Saccharomyces cerevisiae S288C: one gene and its partner. The protein of the gene in region 2 interacts with the protein of the main gene of each other region in a biochemical or structural test. Each region holds a gene or a part of one and is shown on either strand. Other genes may lie near its edges.

The links.
Region 1: the proteins of UFO1 (region 2) and FAS2 form a complex in vitro, tested with the Saccharomyces cerevisiae proteins (one study listed by BioGRID).

Annotation. Positions count from the first base shown.
Region 1 is NC_001148.4:106,717-116,460, forward strand, and holds FAS2 (trifunctional fatty acid synthase subunit FAS2), read left to right. Parts: upstream 1-1,935; coding exon 1,936-7,599; downstream 7,600-9,744. Other genes in the region: MIND complex subunit NSL1, read left to right, coding at 1-106; SSO1 (syntaxin), read left to right, coding at 559-1,431; USV1 (Usv1p), read left to right, coding at 8,596-9,744. UniProt on the Saccharomyces cerevisiae protein: Fatty acid synthetase catalyzes the formation of long-chain fatty acids from acetyl-CoA, malonyl-CoA and NADPH.
Region 2 is NC_001145.3:90,505-97,967, forward strand, and holds UFO1 (SCF ubiquitin ligase complex subunit UFO1), read left to right. Parts: upstream 1-1,730; coding exon 1,731-3,737; downstream 3,738-7,463. Other genes in the region: RPM2 (ribonuclease P), read right to left, coding at 1-227; AIM33 (cytochrome-b5 reductase), read right to left, coding at 3,927-4,865; ALO1 (D-arabinono-1,4-lactone oxidase), read right to left, coding at 5,287-6,867; alpha-tubulin TUB1, read right to left, coding at 7,437-7,463. UniProt on the Saccharomyces cerevisiae protein: Substrate recognition component of a SCF (SKP1-CUL1-F-box protein) E3 ubiquitin-protein ligase complex which mediates the ubiquitination and subsequent proteasomal degradation of target proteins. Probably recognizes and binds to phosphorylated target proteins.

The sequences.
Region 1 (9,744 bases), on a different chromosome or scaffold from region 2:
CGTTGCCTCACTCAATGAATTGTATCAAACACAGCAAGACCTACCCAAGGTAAGATATAACGTTGAAAAGGTCAAGCGCTTAATGGACTTCCTGGAGGAGGATTGAATAAATAACATATAAGACAGTCAACCTCGTGGTAAATGATAACTATATTCTGGGGCTTTATTCATTTTTTTACACTTTTTTATCTTTGTACGAAGAGCTGAAAATAAAAAAGTATAGAGCCAGCCTTTTCCCACACACTAACGACAAAAGACGATATGCAGGCTGTGCGCATGGGGGAGAATCCAGTTTTTGCCCGTTAAAGAGAAAAAATTAGTGTCTGTGAAACGCGAATACAAAAAAAGAAAAGTAGCAGGATCTTACTTCTCGTAAAGACGTCAAGAACCAAATCAAGTCAAATCGTGGAAGTTACAAGGGGAAAGACCAATAACTTTTAGTAAAGAACAAAGAAAGGTCTATCTCACGCAGTGACGGTCTTTGCGGTAAATCTGTGTATACTTGAAAGAAAACCCTTTTACAATTAAAAAAGGCAATTAAAAATAGAAACAAATCAAATGAGTTATAATAATCCGTACCAGTTGGAAACCCCTTTTGAAGAGTCATACGAGTTGGACGAAGGTTCGAGCGCTATCGGTGCTGAAGGCCACGATTTCGTGGGCTTCATGAATAAGATCAGTCAAATCAATCGCGATCTCGATAAGTACGACCATACCATCAACCAGGTCGATTCTTTGCATAAGAGGCTACTGACCGAAGTTAATGAGGAGCAAGCAAGTCACTTAAGGCACTCCCTGGACAACTTCGTCGCACAAGCCACGGACTTGCAGTTCAAACTGAAAAATGAGATTAAAAGTGCCCAAAGGGATGGGATACATGACACCAACAAGCAAGCTCAGGCGGAAAACTCCAGACAAAGATTTTTGAAGCTTATCCAGGACTACAGAATTGTGGATTCCAACTACAAGGAGGAGAATAAAGAGCAAGCCAAGAGGCAGTATATGATCATTCAACCAGAGGCCACCGAAGATGAAGTTGAAGCAGCCATAAGCGATGTAGGGGGCCAGCAGATCTTCTCACAAGCATTGTTGAATGCTAACAGACGTGGGGAAGCCAAGACTGCTCTTGCGGAAGTCCAGGCAAGGCACCAAGAGTTATTGAAACTAGAAAAATCCATGGCAGAACTTACTCAATTGTTTAATGACATGGAAGAACTGGTAATAGAACAACAAGAAAACGTAGACGTCATCGACAAGAACGTTGAAGACGCTCAACTCGACGTAGAACAGGGTGTCGGTCATACCGATAAAGCCGTCAAGAGTGCCAGAAAAGCAAGAAAGAACAAGATTAGATGTTGGTTGATTGTATTCGCCATCATTGTAGTCGTTGTTGTTGTCGTTGTTGTCCCAGCCGTTGTCAAAACGCGTTAATTCCAACTATTTTCTATATTTCTATTCTATCCGAACTCCCCTTTTGTATATCAATATATCTTAATACTTTCGCCTATTCTTTACTATATTTCCTAAATTTTCTCTGGTCTGCAGGCCAAAAACAACAACTTACTACTGAATCATGGACGTGTATTTAGTTTAGCCAAGCAATATTTAAATATCACTCTTCCTAAAAATACATTGGGCATTACCCGCAAACTAACCCATCGCTTAGCAAAATCCAACCATTTTTTTTTTATCTCCCGCGTTTTCACATGCTACCTCATTCGCCTCGTAACGTTACGACCGAAATCTCACTAAGGCACGGTTTGTTGGGCAGTTTACAGATGTTGGATAACCAGTTGTTTCTAAACGGTTATGCCTCATATATAACTTGTTAACTGAAGGTTACACAAGACCACATCACCACTGTCGTGCTTTTCTAATAACCGCTATATTAGACGTTTAAAGGGCTACAGCAACACCAATTGAAATACCATCATTATGAAGCCGGAAGTTGAGCAAGAATTAGCTCATATTTTGCTAACTGAATTGTTAGCTTATCAATTTGCCTCTCCTGTGAGATGGATTGAAACTCAAGATGTTTTTTTGAAGGATTTTAACACTGAAAGGGTTGTTGAAATCGGTCCTTCTCCAACTTTGGCTGGGATGGCTCAAAGAACCTTGAAGAATAAATACGAATCTTACGATGCTGCTCTGTCTTTACATAGAGAAATCTTATGCTATTCGAAGGATGCCAAAGAGATTTATTATACCCCAGATCCATCCGAACTAGCTGCAAAGGAAGAGCCCGCTAAGGAAGAAGCTCCTGCTCCAACTCCAGCTGCTAGTGCTCCTGCTCCTGCAGCAGCAGCCCCAGCTCCCGTCGCGGCAGCAGCCCCAGCTGCAGCAGCTGCTGAGATTGCCGATGAACCTGTCAAGGCTTCCCTATTGTTGCACGTTTTGGTTGCTCACAAGTTGAAGAAGTCGTTAGATTCCATTCCAATGTCCAAGACAATCAAAGACTTGGTCGGTGGTAAATCTACAGTCCAAAATGAAATTTTGGGTGATTTAGGTAAAGAATTTGGTACTACTCCTGAAAAACCAGAAGAAACTCCATTAGAAGAATTGGCAGAAACTTTCCAAGATACCTTCTCTGGAGCATTGGGTAAGCAATCTTCCTCGTTATTATCAAGATTAATCTCATCTAAGATGCCTGGTGGGTTTACTATTACTGTCGCTAGAAAATACTTACAAACTCGCTGGGGACTACCATCTGGTAGACAAGATGGTGTCCTTTTGGTAGCTTTATCTAACGAGCCTGCTGCTCGTCTAGGTTCTGAAGCTGATGCCAAGGCTTTCTTGGACTCCATGGCTCAAAAATACGCTTCCATTGTTGGTGTTGACTTATCATCAGCTGCTAGCGCTAGTGGTGCTGCCGGTGCAGGTGCTGCTGCCGGTGCAGCTATGATCGATGCTGGCGCTCTGGAAGAAATAACCAAAGACCACAAGGTTTTGGCGCGTCAACAACTGCAAGTATTGGCTCGTTATCTAAAAATGGACTTGGATAACGGTGAAAGAAAGTTCTTGAAAGAAAAGGACACTGTTGCTGAACTTCAAGCTCAGTTGGATTACTTGAATGCCGAATTAGGTGAATTCTTTGTTAACGGTGTTGCTACTTCTTTCTCTAGAAAAAAGGCCAGAACCTTCGATTCTTCCTGGAACTGGGCTAAACAATCTTTATTATCATTATACTTTGAGATAATTCATGGTGTCTTGAAAAACGTTGATAGAGAGGTTGTTAGTGAAGCTATCAATATCATGAACAGATCTAACGATGCTTTGATTAAATTCATGGAATACCATATCTCTAACACTGATGAAACAAAAGGTGAAAACTATCAATTGGTTAAAACTCTTGGTGAGCAGTTGATTGAAAACTGTAAACAAGTTTTGGATGTTGATCCAGTTTACAAAGATGTTGCTAAGCCTACCGGTCCAAAAACTGCTATTGACAAGAACGGTAACATTACATACTCAGAAGAGCCAAGAGAAAAGGTTAGGAAATTATCTCAATACGTACAAGAAATGGCCCTTGGTGGTCCAATCACCAAAGAATCTCAACCTACTATTGAAGAGGATTTGACTCGTGTTTACAAGGCAATCAGTGCTCAAGCTGATAAACAAGATATTTCCAGCTCCACCAGGGTTGAATTTGAAAAACTATATAGTGATTTGATGAAGTTCTTGGAAAGCTCCAAAGAAATCGATCCTTCTCAAACAACCCAATTGGCCGGTATGGATGTTGAGGATGCTTTGGACAAAGATTCCACCAAAGAAGTTGCTTCTTTGCCAAACAAATCTACCATTTCTAAGACGGTATCTTCAACTATTCCAAGAGAAACTATTCCGTTCTTACATTTGAGAAAGAAGACTCCTGCCGGAGATTGGAAATATGACCGCCAATTGTCTTCTCTTTTCTTAGATGGTTTAGAAAAGGCTGCCTTCAACGGTGTCACCTTCAAGGACAAATACGTCTTGATCACTGGTGCTGGTAAGGGTTCTATTGGTGCTGAAGTCTTGCAAGGTTTGTTACAAGGTGGTGCTAAGGTTGTTGTTACCACCTCTCGTTTCTCTAAGCAAGTTACAGACTACTACCAATCCATTTACGCCAAATATGGTGCTAAGGGTTCTACTTTGATTGTTGTTCCATTCAACCAAGGTTCTAAGCAAGACGTTGAAGCTTTGATTGAATTTATCTACGACACTGAAAAGAATGGTGGTTTAGGTTGGGATCTAGATGCTATTATTCCATTCGCGGCCATTCCAGAACAAGGTATTGAATTAGAACATATTGATTCTAAGTCTGAATTTGCTCATAGAATCATGTTGACCAATATCTTAAGAATGATGGGTTGTGTCAAGAAGCAAAAATCTGCAAGAGGTATTGAAACAAGACCAGCTCAAGTCATTCTACCAATGTCTCCAAACCATGGTACTTTCGGTGGTGATGGTATGTATTCAGAATCCAAGTTGTCTTTGGAAACTTTGTTCAACAGATGGCACTCTGAATCCTGGGCCAATCAATTAACCGTTTGCGGTGCTATTATTGGTTGGACTAGAGGTACTGGTTTAATGAGCGCTAATAACATCATTGCTGAAGGCATTGAAAAGATGGGTGTTCGTACTTTCTCTCAAAAGGAAATGGCTTTCAACTTATTGGGTCTATTGACTCCAGAAGTCGTAGAATTGTGCCAAAAATCACCTGTTATGGCTGACTTGAATGGTGGTTTGCAATTTGTTCCTGAATTGAAGGAATTCACTGCTAAATTGCGTAAAGAGTTGGTTGAAACTTCTGAAGTTAGAAAGGCAGTTTCCATCGAAACTGCTTTGGAGCATAAGGTTGTCAATGGCAATAGCGCTGATGCTGCATATGCTCAAGTCGAAATTCAACCAAGAGCTAACATTCAACTGGACTTCCCAGAATTGAAACCATACAAACAGGTTAAACAAATTGCTCCCGCTGAGCTTGAAGGTTTGTTGGATTTGGAAAGAGTTATTGTAGTTACCGGTTTTGCTGAAGTCGGCCCATGGGGTTCGGCCAGAACAAGATGGGAAATGGAAGCTTTTGGTGAATTTTCGTTGGAAGGTTGCGTTGAAATGGCCTGGATTATGGGCTTCATTTCATACCATAACGGTAATTTGAAGGGTCGTCCATACACTGGTTGGGTTGATTCCAAAACAAAAGAACCAGTTGATGACAAGGACGTTAAGGCCAAGTATGAAACATCAATCCTAGAACACAGTGGTATCAGATTGATCGAACCAGAGTTATTCAATGGTTACAACCCAGAAAAGAAGGAAATGATTCAAGAAGTCATTGTCGAAGAAGACTTGGAACCATTTGAGGCTTCGAAGGAAACTGCCGAACAATTTAAACACCAACATGGTGACAAAGTGGATATCTTCGAAATCCCAGAAACAGGAGAGTACTCTGTTAAGTTACTAAAGGGTGCCACTTTATACATTCCAAAGGCTTTGAGATTTGACCGTTTGGTTGCAGGTCAAATTCCAACTGGTTGGAATGCTAAGACTTATGGTATCTCTGATGATATCATTTCTCAGGTTGACCCAATCACATTATTCGTTTTGGTCTCTGTTGTGGAAGCATTTATTGCATCTGGTATCACCGACCCATACGAAATGTACAAATACGTACATGTTTCTGAGGTTGGTAACTGTTCTGGTTCTGGTATGGGTGGTGTTTCTGCCTTACGTGGTATGTTTAAGGACCGTTTCAAGGATGAGCCTGTCCAAAATGATATTTTACAAGAATCATTTATCAACACCATGTCCGCTTGGGTTAATATGTTGTTGATTTCCTCATCTGGTCCAATCAAGACACCTGTTGGTGCCTGTGCCACATCCGTGGAATCTGTTGACATTGGTGTAGAAACCATCTTGTCTGGTAAGGCTAGAATCTGTATTGTCGGTGGTTACGATGATTTCCAAGAAGAAGGCTCCTTTGAGTTCGGTAACATGAAGGCCACTTCCAACACTTTGGAAGAATTTGAACATGGTCGTACCCCAGCGGAAATGTCCAGACCTGCCACCACTACCCGTAACGGTTTTATGGAAGCTCAAGGTGCTGGTATTCAAATCATCATGCAAGCTGATTTAGCTTTGAAGATGGGTGTGCCAATTTACGGTATTGTTGCCATGGCTGCTACCGCCACCGATAAGATTGGTAGATCTGTGCCAGCTCCAGGTAAGGGTATTTTAACCACTGCTCGTGAACACCACTCCAGTGTTAAGTATGCTTCACCAAACTTGAACATGAAGTACAGAAAGCGCCAATTGGTTACTCGTGAAGCTCAGATTAAAGATTGGGTAGAAAACGAATTGGAAGCTTTGAAGTTGGAGGCCGAAGAAATTCCAAGCGAAGACCAAAACGAGTTCTTACTTGAACGTACCAGAGAAATCCACAACGAAGCTGAAAGTCAATTGAGAGCTGCACAACAACAATGGGGTAACGACTTCTACAAGAGGGACCCACGTATTGCTCCATTGAGAGGAGCACTGGCTACTTACGGTTTAACTATTGATGACTTGGGTGTCGCTTCATTCCACGGTACATCCACAAAGGCTAATGACAAGAACGAATCTGCCACAATTAATGAAATGATGAAGCATTTGGGTAGATCTGAAGGTAATCCCGTCATTGGTGTTTTCCAAAAGTTCTTGACTGGTCATCCAAAGGGTGCTGCTGGTGCATGGATGATGAATGGTGCTTTGCAAATTCTAAACAGTGGTATTATTCCAGGTAACCGTAACGCTGATAACGTGGATAAGATCTTGGAGCAATTTGAATACGTCTTGTACCCATCCAAGACTTTAAAGACCGACGGTGTCAGAGCCGTGTCCATCACTTCTTTCGGTTTTGGTCAAAAGGGTGGTCAAGCTATTGTGGTTCATCCAGACTACTTATACGGTGCTATCACTGAAGACAGATACAACGAGTATGTCGCCAAGGTTAGTGCCAGAGAGAAAAGTGCCTACAAATTCTTCCATAATGGTATGATCTACAACAAGTTGTTCGTAAGTAAAGAGCATGCTCCATACACTGATGAATTGGAAGAGGATGTTTACTTGGACCCATTAGCCCGTGTATCTAAGGATAAGAAATCAGGCTCCTTGACTTTCAACTCTAAAAACATCCAAAGCAAGGACAGTTACATCAATGCTAACACCATTGAAACTGCCAAGATGATTGAAAACATGACCAAGGAGAAAGTCTCTAACGGTGGCGTCGGTGTAGATGTTGAATTAATCACTAGCATCAACGTTGAAAATGATACTTTTATCGAGCGCAATTTCACCCCGCAAGAAATAGAGTACTGCAGCGCGCAGCCTAGTGTGCAAAGCTCTTTCGCTGGGACATGGTCCGCCAAAGAGGCTGTTTTCAAGTCCTTAGGCGTCAAGTCCTTAGGCGGTGGTGCTGCATTGAAAGACATCGAAATCGTACGCGTTAACAAAAACGCTCCAGCCGTTGAACTGCACGGTAACGCCAAAAAGGCTGCCGAAGAAGCTGGTGTTACCGATGTGAAGGTATCTATTTCTCACGATGACCTCCAAGCTGTCGCGGTCGCCGTTTCTACTAAGAAATAGAGAGAGCACTACGTAGTCCCTCTTTTAATATGTAACGTGTCGCTTCTATTTATCAGACATAATAGTAATTACTTTGTTATTTTTCTATCGTTTCCTTACTTTAGCCTCTGATTTCGATCTGGCCTAATCATTGTGTACGTCTATAATCATATGGCCCTGAGCGTACACACCGTTCAATTCTTCTATTTGGTCGGCCCACACAAATTCGCGCGGGGGCATATTGACGCGTGGAAGAATAGAAGTCCGCGTAGCAGCTCTGGGGTAATTAGGCTTTTACGATATCGGCTGGCCCAGCACCGGTTTTTATTCCTCCCGTGGTTGTTGTCTCTACCGTGAGGAGGGGAAAGGGTCAGGGACGGCCGGTAGTTATGTTGTCTCAACGATTACTGCCATCTATTGTTTACACCAATCGCGTGGGGCAAGGGGCTGGAAGGCTGTGGTGTACAGAATAGGGTCTAATACCCGATGCGCGACGCTCCTGCGACTGGTTGTGTGAGCCACCCCTTGATCGCCTCTGCCAAATACTCAGGGAAGAGAAAAATCGCGAAGGTGGACGAGTGCCCTTAAAGAACCAGCATCCTCGATCGCCGCTGCCGTTCGCCCTGGCTTAGCGGTGGGAAGCATCCTTTGGCTTTCGAATTCTCCGCCGTTGAGTCCCCCTAAGGGCCTTATTTATCCCCTCTATTTTTTTTTAGAAAATGTTTTCTTTTTCAAGATTTGTTTGCTCCTTCACGGCTTCCCCCTTAACCGTTCAACAGTCTTCCGTATATAACAATCTCAATCCACTCTTATTGCCTATAATTTTGATTAATTCTTATTCATCCCGGCAGATAAAGTTTCGTCTTGTTTTGAAAGAGACAGGAGTTCTTGGCTGCAGTATTTTGCAACAGCTTCATTAACCATGTATGTAAAGAAAAAATCTGGAGCGACTTACTGGCTTAGCTTTTTTTACTAACACATAAATAATACTGTGATAAGATAAGAAAAAAACACGAAATGGAAAATACCACGAATCGTAATACTGCAGGCGTTCTTACGAGCAGCAATGGTAACTTTGCCACCAATAGTGTAGCGGCATCAACTCCGAAGAGGTCCAAAAGTGCTCGAAGGAAAACGTTCAAATGCACCGGATATGACGGTTGTACGATGTCCTTCACTAGAGCGGAACATCTTGCACGTCATATAAGAAAGCACACTGGTGAAAAGCCGTTCCAGTGTCCTGCATGTTTGAAATTCTTCAGTAGAGTTGATAATTTGAAACAGCATCGGGAATCGGTCCATGCACATAAAAACCACCATTCTACCAGCTCGCACCAGCGTAAGCCTTCCTCTTCATCTTTATCCTCCTCTTCTTCTGCATCTTCTTCGTCTTCTGCTTCATCATCTACATCATATAGTGATCCTTACAGGAAAACTAATATTAATAGCGGGAACATGCCGATGATGGCAGAAAACGAAAAAGCGCCCCAAATAATACATTCTTCGCCGGAGTTCATTACTAGCACGAGAAGCATCCCACCCATCTCTCCAAGGTCCATTTATAATACCCAACGACAGCAACAACACCAACAACAACAGCATCAACAGGCTCCCTATTATTTTCCTTCCCATCCAATCACTGATAGTTACTACCAGTATCCTCTTCCCAGTAATAATAACACCATCAATTATTTACCATCAGTAGATGTGCAGTATCCTTTGAATGTGAGCCCCTCCTCAACGAGCCATCCGGCCTCTGAGGTAATCATATCGTCCTTTCCTCCGAGGTCCATGCCAAGTACTTCCTTCAAATATAAAGATTCTGCCGACTTTCAAGCACGGACAACTATGAACAAATACAATATTAGACCAAGCAATATCAATGTCAATACTAGTAATATCAATAACCATCTTGATTCATTCTCCCCGCCGTTTTCTCCGTCAACGACAGTTGCTGAAGCAAAACCAATTATTTTACCACAGTATCAGCAGGCATTTAGCCAACCACCAAATGGAAATAAAAACAATAATATGTCTTCCTCGAAGAATGGCGGCAAAGGGGGAGAAAATTTCAAGAATACTGATGATCGCAATGATAATAATAACAAAAAGAGGTCGGAAACTTTATCAGAGTCTGATATTTCGGTCAACACCAATAAGAAAAGG
Region 2 (7,463 bases):
TCCAGGTCGTGCGGATGCAAAATATCATCTACGTTGTTATAGTTTACATTCGCTACTACGACCGGATGAGGATGTAGATGAGATGCATGAAGTACGGGATCCGAATTTACCAAACCTTGGTTTTGCCTTAGATACTGGTAGGAGCTATCGAAAAAAGATGTTGCAGTTTTCTTTTGAGCGGCGGAACGATGATAACCTTTAGAGTATATGAATGATTTGAAAGCCATTTTCGTTTGTGTATGCTTGTTTTTTCTTTTCTGTTTGTTGTAGTCTCTATAAATTTAAATGCACTTATCTTTTTATGCAAAAAAAGCTGGGCGAGTTATTTGTTTCTATATTTGTATAATTTTTTTTTTTGTGAAGATGAATATAAACTGACAAAAAATTGTGTCAGAGTTGAAGCTATAGCTCCTTTTATGATGTGTCTTGGTTCTTTGGGTGCGATATTAGGGAAACAACGCACAGCAAATTTTCTTCTGCTTTCTTATAACGTTATAAACAATCCTGTTGTCTTGGTTTATTATGTGGAAAACTTTTCACGGATCAATTTTATAAAGCATACAACTAAAGAGAAAAGTGTAATATGGACGAACGAGAGACAACTTAATCCATGGATTTGTAATTGACGTGTGTATGATTCGAGGGAAACTGACAGTTTTTGCTTTGTCATGGGGGAATTGTAAGGCACACCGAGTCTCGGCCCCGAGTGCCTGGCCAATGAGAACGCGCGCATTCGGAGCTGCCCCACTTTTTGTGCGCTCTTGCATTTCATTGGTTAGCCGGAGGAATTCGGCGGTTAAAAGCGGACTCGAGCGGAAATAAAGTCTTTGCTTATTGTATGCCAGGAAAAGCTCTACAAATCTACTAAAAGAGTCAAATATACAGCTTTGCCAAGCGTGCGGCATAGGGAATAACAACAAATTGGAAATGTGCGGCTAGCGTAATCTTGGTATCTACTACCGACTCTGAAGAGTTTAGCGGGCTCTCAGACGGTTTTTTCGCTTTTGGCATTTTATTCAGGTAGCCTTAGATGTTAAATTTTCCATGGCATCTTGCGTAAAGCCTGCTAGGTTCCTTGCCACGTATAATTGCGCCGCGAATTCTGTGATAAATATATTGTAAGATTTTCTGTTGTCTTGGAATTGCTCTCTCTTTAAATAATACTTTATATGTTTACCCCAATTCTTTGCCGCCGAAAGGTCAGCGTTGCATTACGTGGTGTCCGGTCGCTATTTCCTGGGTTTTCTGCGGCAGATTCGCACTGCGCGCCACAGCTGCAACAACTGCAGTGTTATTTCGGGTGCCAATTTAGCGTGCTTCGATCTAACTATTCTGTAAATTCTGTAGTGACTCTTTAGGGCGAAGTACGTATTTCATGATTTAAAATCCCCGTCTTCAAATATACCGAAAAAAGAAACAAGACATTTTTTAGCAGTTTATGTACGCATTTTAAAAGCCGGGAAATGCTTCTTGTTACCCCTTTTGGCGCTTTGGATAAGTAGTTCACTTAGCTATTTTTTTTTCCGGTTCGAACTCGGGGTGAGGCTTTATCATGCACTTTTTTTTGGCTATTATTAATTTTCGCAGCCTTAATTTTTCCCTTTCCATTTTCTCGCATGTGGCGGTTTTCAGTATTACTTAGAGATGCCTTAAATAAATCTAACAGGCAGGTATACCAGGTACGAGTTAAAAACCTTTATCAGGTGGCCGACACTAGGGAATAAGACAGCATGGAGCGGCCTGGCTTGGTATTGCAGGACCTTCCACCCGAAATCCTGATAAACATCTTTTCTCACTTAGACGAAAAGGACTTGTTCACGTTGCAAGAACTTTCTACGCATTTCCGGAACTTAATTCACGATGAAGAACTTTGGAAGAACCTGTTTAAGTCTAGAGTTCACACGACTCATTTCCCCACATTTTCTCAGTCTTCGAAATTTAGTGTAGAGTATATTGAAAGGACACGGGGTCTTCATCATTGGCAGCATAACAAGGCTATAAGAACCAAATACACAATAATTCCGACGAGAAACTGGGATCAGCCCAGTATAGAACGCATAGTGTTTGATTATCCACGAGTTGCAGCTTATAATGATGGTACCATTACAATTTTACAGTTACAAAATCACAAAAGGCAGAAGAAATTTAAGAAATTGATTTATATTCCATGTACAACACCACAAGGTTGTTCTACCATGGACTTCAATATTAATGCTGCAGTGTTTGGTAGGTTTGACGGCAGAGTGTTTGGAAAACTGCTAAGTAACAAATCGTACTTAACGCCCGTGATGGAATTTACGGGAAGGCATAGTGCAGGCGTTACTGCCATTTGTAATTCAGAATCCTGGGACACGTCAAGAGAGGACTGGTCTGTTAGTGGCTCTGAAAACGGTGAAATTATATGGTGGTGCGAAAATAAGCTTGTTAAGATGTGGAAGGTTTCTAATAGGGTAATTTGGAAACTGGCTTTTTTTAAAGATTGGACCTTAATTATGGATGATGAAAAGCTGTACATTATCCATCAAATGCAGGAATTGCACAGTATTGATATTCCTAAGGATCTGGACGAACAGCCTATGAGGGTACGGTTTTTCAAGATGGATTTCGGTTCCATGACTTTGGTACTTGCTGACCTGAATAACGTTTATACAATATCGGTCAATCCCAATGGTAACTTCGGCAATTTGAGAAAGTTGGAGATGCCTGAACAAATATGCGCAGTTGAAATAGATGAAAAAACTTCTCAAAGGGAACAAAACTGGCAATTTGCTGGTGATGACGGCTGCTATATCAGTCTTTTGACGACACAGAACACTTTATACATTATCAATATAAGAGATCTTTCTTCGTCAGGCTTAAAAGTTCAATGTAAGATAAGTTTTGATGAGCAGGTATACGTATCGCAGGTGACAAATTTAATAGTTGTGGTAGCATTGCCAAATGTTCTTCAAATATTGAACGCGATGACAGGCGAGTTAATAAAGACAGTGTTGAAAACCGAGAAGTTTCCCGAATTTTTGAAGGTATCGCAGGATAAAATCATTATGGGAAGCGGTAACGTTTTGAATTATTTAAAGTTTGTTTCAAGTGATTCAAAGAAACATCACCATTCCACTAAAGGTAAAAACACAGTAAGCAATAAGTGGAATGAAACTTTGAACACGGAGCTGCAATATTATGATGAAGATGAAGACCTTAGAAGAAAAAGACAGTCAGAAATATCAAGATTGATCGATGCGTATGGTGGAGACCTTGAACTTTCAGGCGACACCGATGAAGAAAACGACATTCAGTTGAGAATTGCACTCTTAGAATCACAGGAGGCGCAAGCACGGAATCAAGCTGAAGCGGGGGAGCCTGTCGGAGATGATGAAGATGAGCAGTTAAGAAGGGCGCTGGAGGAATCTCAACTGATATATGAGACGCAAACGAATAGCTCTGCGAATCATGGTAATAATACGAATGATGAGATAGATGAAGATGATGAAGAGTTTCTCAGAGCCATCAGACAATCAAGAGTGGAGGACGAAAGGAGAAGACATCTTAGAAATCATACTACAGGTCGACGAAATGGGCCCTTGAGCGACGATAATTTTGCTACATATGGTGCAGCAGAGTCATCCGAACGAACCTCAACTGAGAACACTATCGGTAGTTCTGTTGGCGTTGATGCTAGTAATAATGTTGATGAAGACTTACAATTGGCCATTGCGTTGTCATTGAGTGAAATCAATTGAAAGTATGTACATTTGGAAGAGCATATGTTAAATATTTTATTTATAGATTTTTCGTTGTGAAATATTATTTTTTTTTTTTTGAAAAAAATGTCGGACTTTATTCCTCCTAATTATTAATAAAATACGAATATATATCTAAATATAATTAATGCTTATTTACATGAAAAATCATCAATCGTAAACAGTTGATTAAAAAACAAAAACTTTATCGGTTCCATTACCTTTGTGAAACCCATTACTCCACCCCAACTCCTTTGCATAATTCAAAACCATTTCATTCATTTTAGGTGGTCCGCAAATCAATAAACGATGGTCCTCCGCTTGTTTAGGTAGGTATCTTTTCATTTCCTCTAGAGTTACGTACCCAACATCACCGTTCCATTTACCGTTTGGCTTATGAATTACATAATGAACTTTAAAATGCGGGTACTCCTTAGCCATGTGGTCTAGTTGCGATTTCATGAGAATGTCATCCTCTGTTTCGTTTGCGTATATCAAAGAAATGTGTGTTAGGTCTTCTGGAGAGGGTATGATTTCTTGCAGCACTTGCAATACAGGGGTTATACCAGACCCCCCTGCGATTATACCCAACTCTGTTGCGGTGTCCTGATCATATTCCAGCTCACCTAACGGCCCTTTAAATTCAACATACTGGCGAATTTTTAATTTATCAAAATACTTAGAAACGACACCATGTTTATACGTCTTGACTACTAATTCCAAGTGACCCTCCGTATTAGGAACATTTACTGGCGTATAGTACCTCACTAATCGCTCACCATTTATTGTAACCCTTACTGCCAGGTGGTATCCCATGGGAATATGCAATCTTTCAAATGGGTACTTTAACTTGAAGCAGTACAGACTAGTATTACGAGAAATGCGGGTCTTCTTGGATAGCGGTAGCGCGACCCATTTATTTCTGTAAAGAGATTTATCAGTTCCAATCGAAATAAACGCTGTGGCATAAAGTACTACGAATTGCAGCAATGAAACGACCACGATTCTACCATTTTGCGTTTTCCAAAAGTAAAGAGGTGTAACCACACAATTCAGAAGCAATCCAGTACAAAATGGATAAAACGGATTTGTCGAAACAAAAGATATGCATGTCTCTACTATCGACATTGTTGCGAATGGTTGCTTTTTACAAAGAAAAAATGTGATATGAGTTAATACTAAACATACTTAAATCCTAGAGAGAAAAAAAGTACTGCAATATATACAGCACTCAAAATACATTTCTATCTGATTTCTAAAAACTTCCCTGTAGATGGATCTACGTTACGCCATGCCGATGTTTCGTTTTTGCTTATACGACCAATCATTACCGCGTTCGGCTTTTCCAAAAAAAAAAAACTATAGTAAGGATAATGAAAAGAAAAAAGGGTCCCATGATTACTAAAAAGCTCTAATTCAAAAAAAAAGTCTTTGATAGGCAGCTAGGAATAGTTATTAGAATGTACATGAACAGTCATCACACTGCTATATATATATATATATATATTCTTTTTTAGTAAAATATAGAGATTATTGAGACAAAAAGAGACTAGTCGGACAACTCACTAGGATCTATAATACCATTTATGATAGCCCACTGTTTGTTTGCCAAGAATACATTATCGGGATCTTGCTCCTTTCTTATTTTCCGGAACTTTTTCAAATCCTCGCCATACCATTCTTCAACCTTCAATGCCATCCCCCTCATTTCAAAGTCATCGTAATCAGTATCCTTTTTCACTGGTCCAGCAGCTAGAGTGGTTGAGCCTAGGAAGTTCTTGGCCCAATGTGGCTTACCTCCCGCTACCATCATAGTATTTTCAAAAAGGGTAAACCATTTATGAATTGGAGTATTACAGCCAAACGGCCTATAAATGGTAGCATTTATGTACAACGTCAACTGACTGTTGGTAACATTTTCCAACGGAGCAAATCTGCAATGGGATGGTGTGTTATCCAGGAATGGGCGGCACACATTGCCATAAACGGGACCGGGACTGGTGTTTGTTCTCTTGCTAGTATCCAAGGGTTCAGAAGGTAATGTAGTATTTGAGCAACGGACTTCCATAGGCACGTGGACATAAAATTCTTTGTTTATGGCAGCCTGCGCAATAGAATGATCCAATGAACGTAAGACTTCCAAACCATTATCCATAGGGCACCCCCATTCATCAACAAATTGTGAAAACAAACAGTCCATATTAAATCCGCTGATAGAATCGGTAACATTAACATCACCAGTAGAGCTCTTCTCCAATTTCCCGTATTGCCTGTTGAAAACGAACTTTTCCACAAATGGGGTTAATGGCGCATAGATTTTGGTAGAGATCCATAATAGAGTTTCGTAGAAAAATCTACCCAGCTTGGTACCCCACCATGACTTGGCTGGACCATTTTGGGCATCTGTAGTTTTGTTACCCCTCCATAGAACACATTTTCTAGTATAAGGGTACCACCAAACTCTGATAAATTCAGATGAAGTCCATAGGGTATCCCATTGCTTCAAAAGGTTTTCAAAAGTAATCACTTCTTGAGTGGATTTAATATTGAAGCCGGGAACAACCCTGATAGTAGCAGAGACAATGATACCAATTTTTCCAACTGAAAGTAAAGCAGCTTTAAAGACTTCTGGATCGTTTTCAGCATCCAAGAACTTCAATTCGCCCTTACCATTAACAATAGTCAAGTTTACGTATTGAGAAGAAATCAAACCGTGATAAGGTGAGGAACCATGACTACCAGTAGAGATTATGCCAGCAACACTTTGTTCTGAGATAGAGCCTAAATTTTGGATAGAGTAACCTTTCGCACCCAAAAATTCATTCAATTGGTAAAGCCTCATACCGGCATCAACTGTGACATCGGCATAATGTAACTCAGGATATTCAACAAACTTTTGTACTTTGTCCAATCTGTCTAAGTTAACAAGCCATTCATCAGTAACGCACATGTTACTAGGAGAATGGCCCGAACCAACAGTAACTAAGCTTTTTTCAGCTAGCCTGGCACTCTTTACTAACTCGACAACCTCATCAATTGAACTTGGTTGGAAGTAACGTTCTGGTTTTGCAGAATAAATTCCGGCCCAGTTTTTGAACACATAGTTCTTTCTAAATGGGATAGTAGACATGGGGTGAAAAACCTGATAATATCGGTAACTTTAATTTTACGGGTTCTTGTTTTACCTTCTAATGAATTTTAAGTTTTGAAAAGCAGAAAATCAGATATTGAAACTATAGATCTGCTTACCTTGAAGTTCACTATTTTTGGAATTCTCCTTGCTAATAGTTACTTCTACTCTTGCTTTGTCCTGGATATCAATGGAAGATGTCCTCATTTCCATTTTTTTTTTCAATTCGACGGCAAGGCGGGAGAAAAGGAACTAGGGATACAAAAATGCAATTACTAATGAAATCCGTGAAATAATCATGGAAATGGGTGATGTAAGAATCTGATGAAACAAGTACAAATGTCTTTGGCCCATCAACTACGATGAGACTTACTAAGCTTTCATCAAATGCAGGTTAGAGAAGGAGAATGGTTTTTTTTTTTATTTTTTGTACATAGATATTAGAGAAATATAATAAGTAGATTATAGATAAGATATCACCAAAGAGATATAACAGTAGGGGGAATTTTTTTTTTTACAATATACTTGAAATATAGAAAGGATAAGGAGGTTGGGGGCGAGAGTGAACCTTAAAATTCCTCTTCCTCAGCGTATGA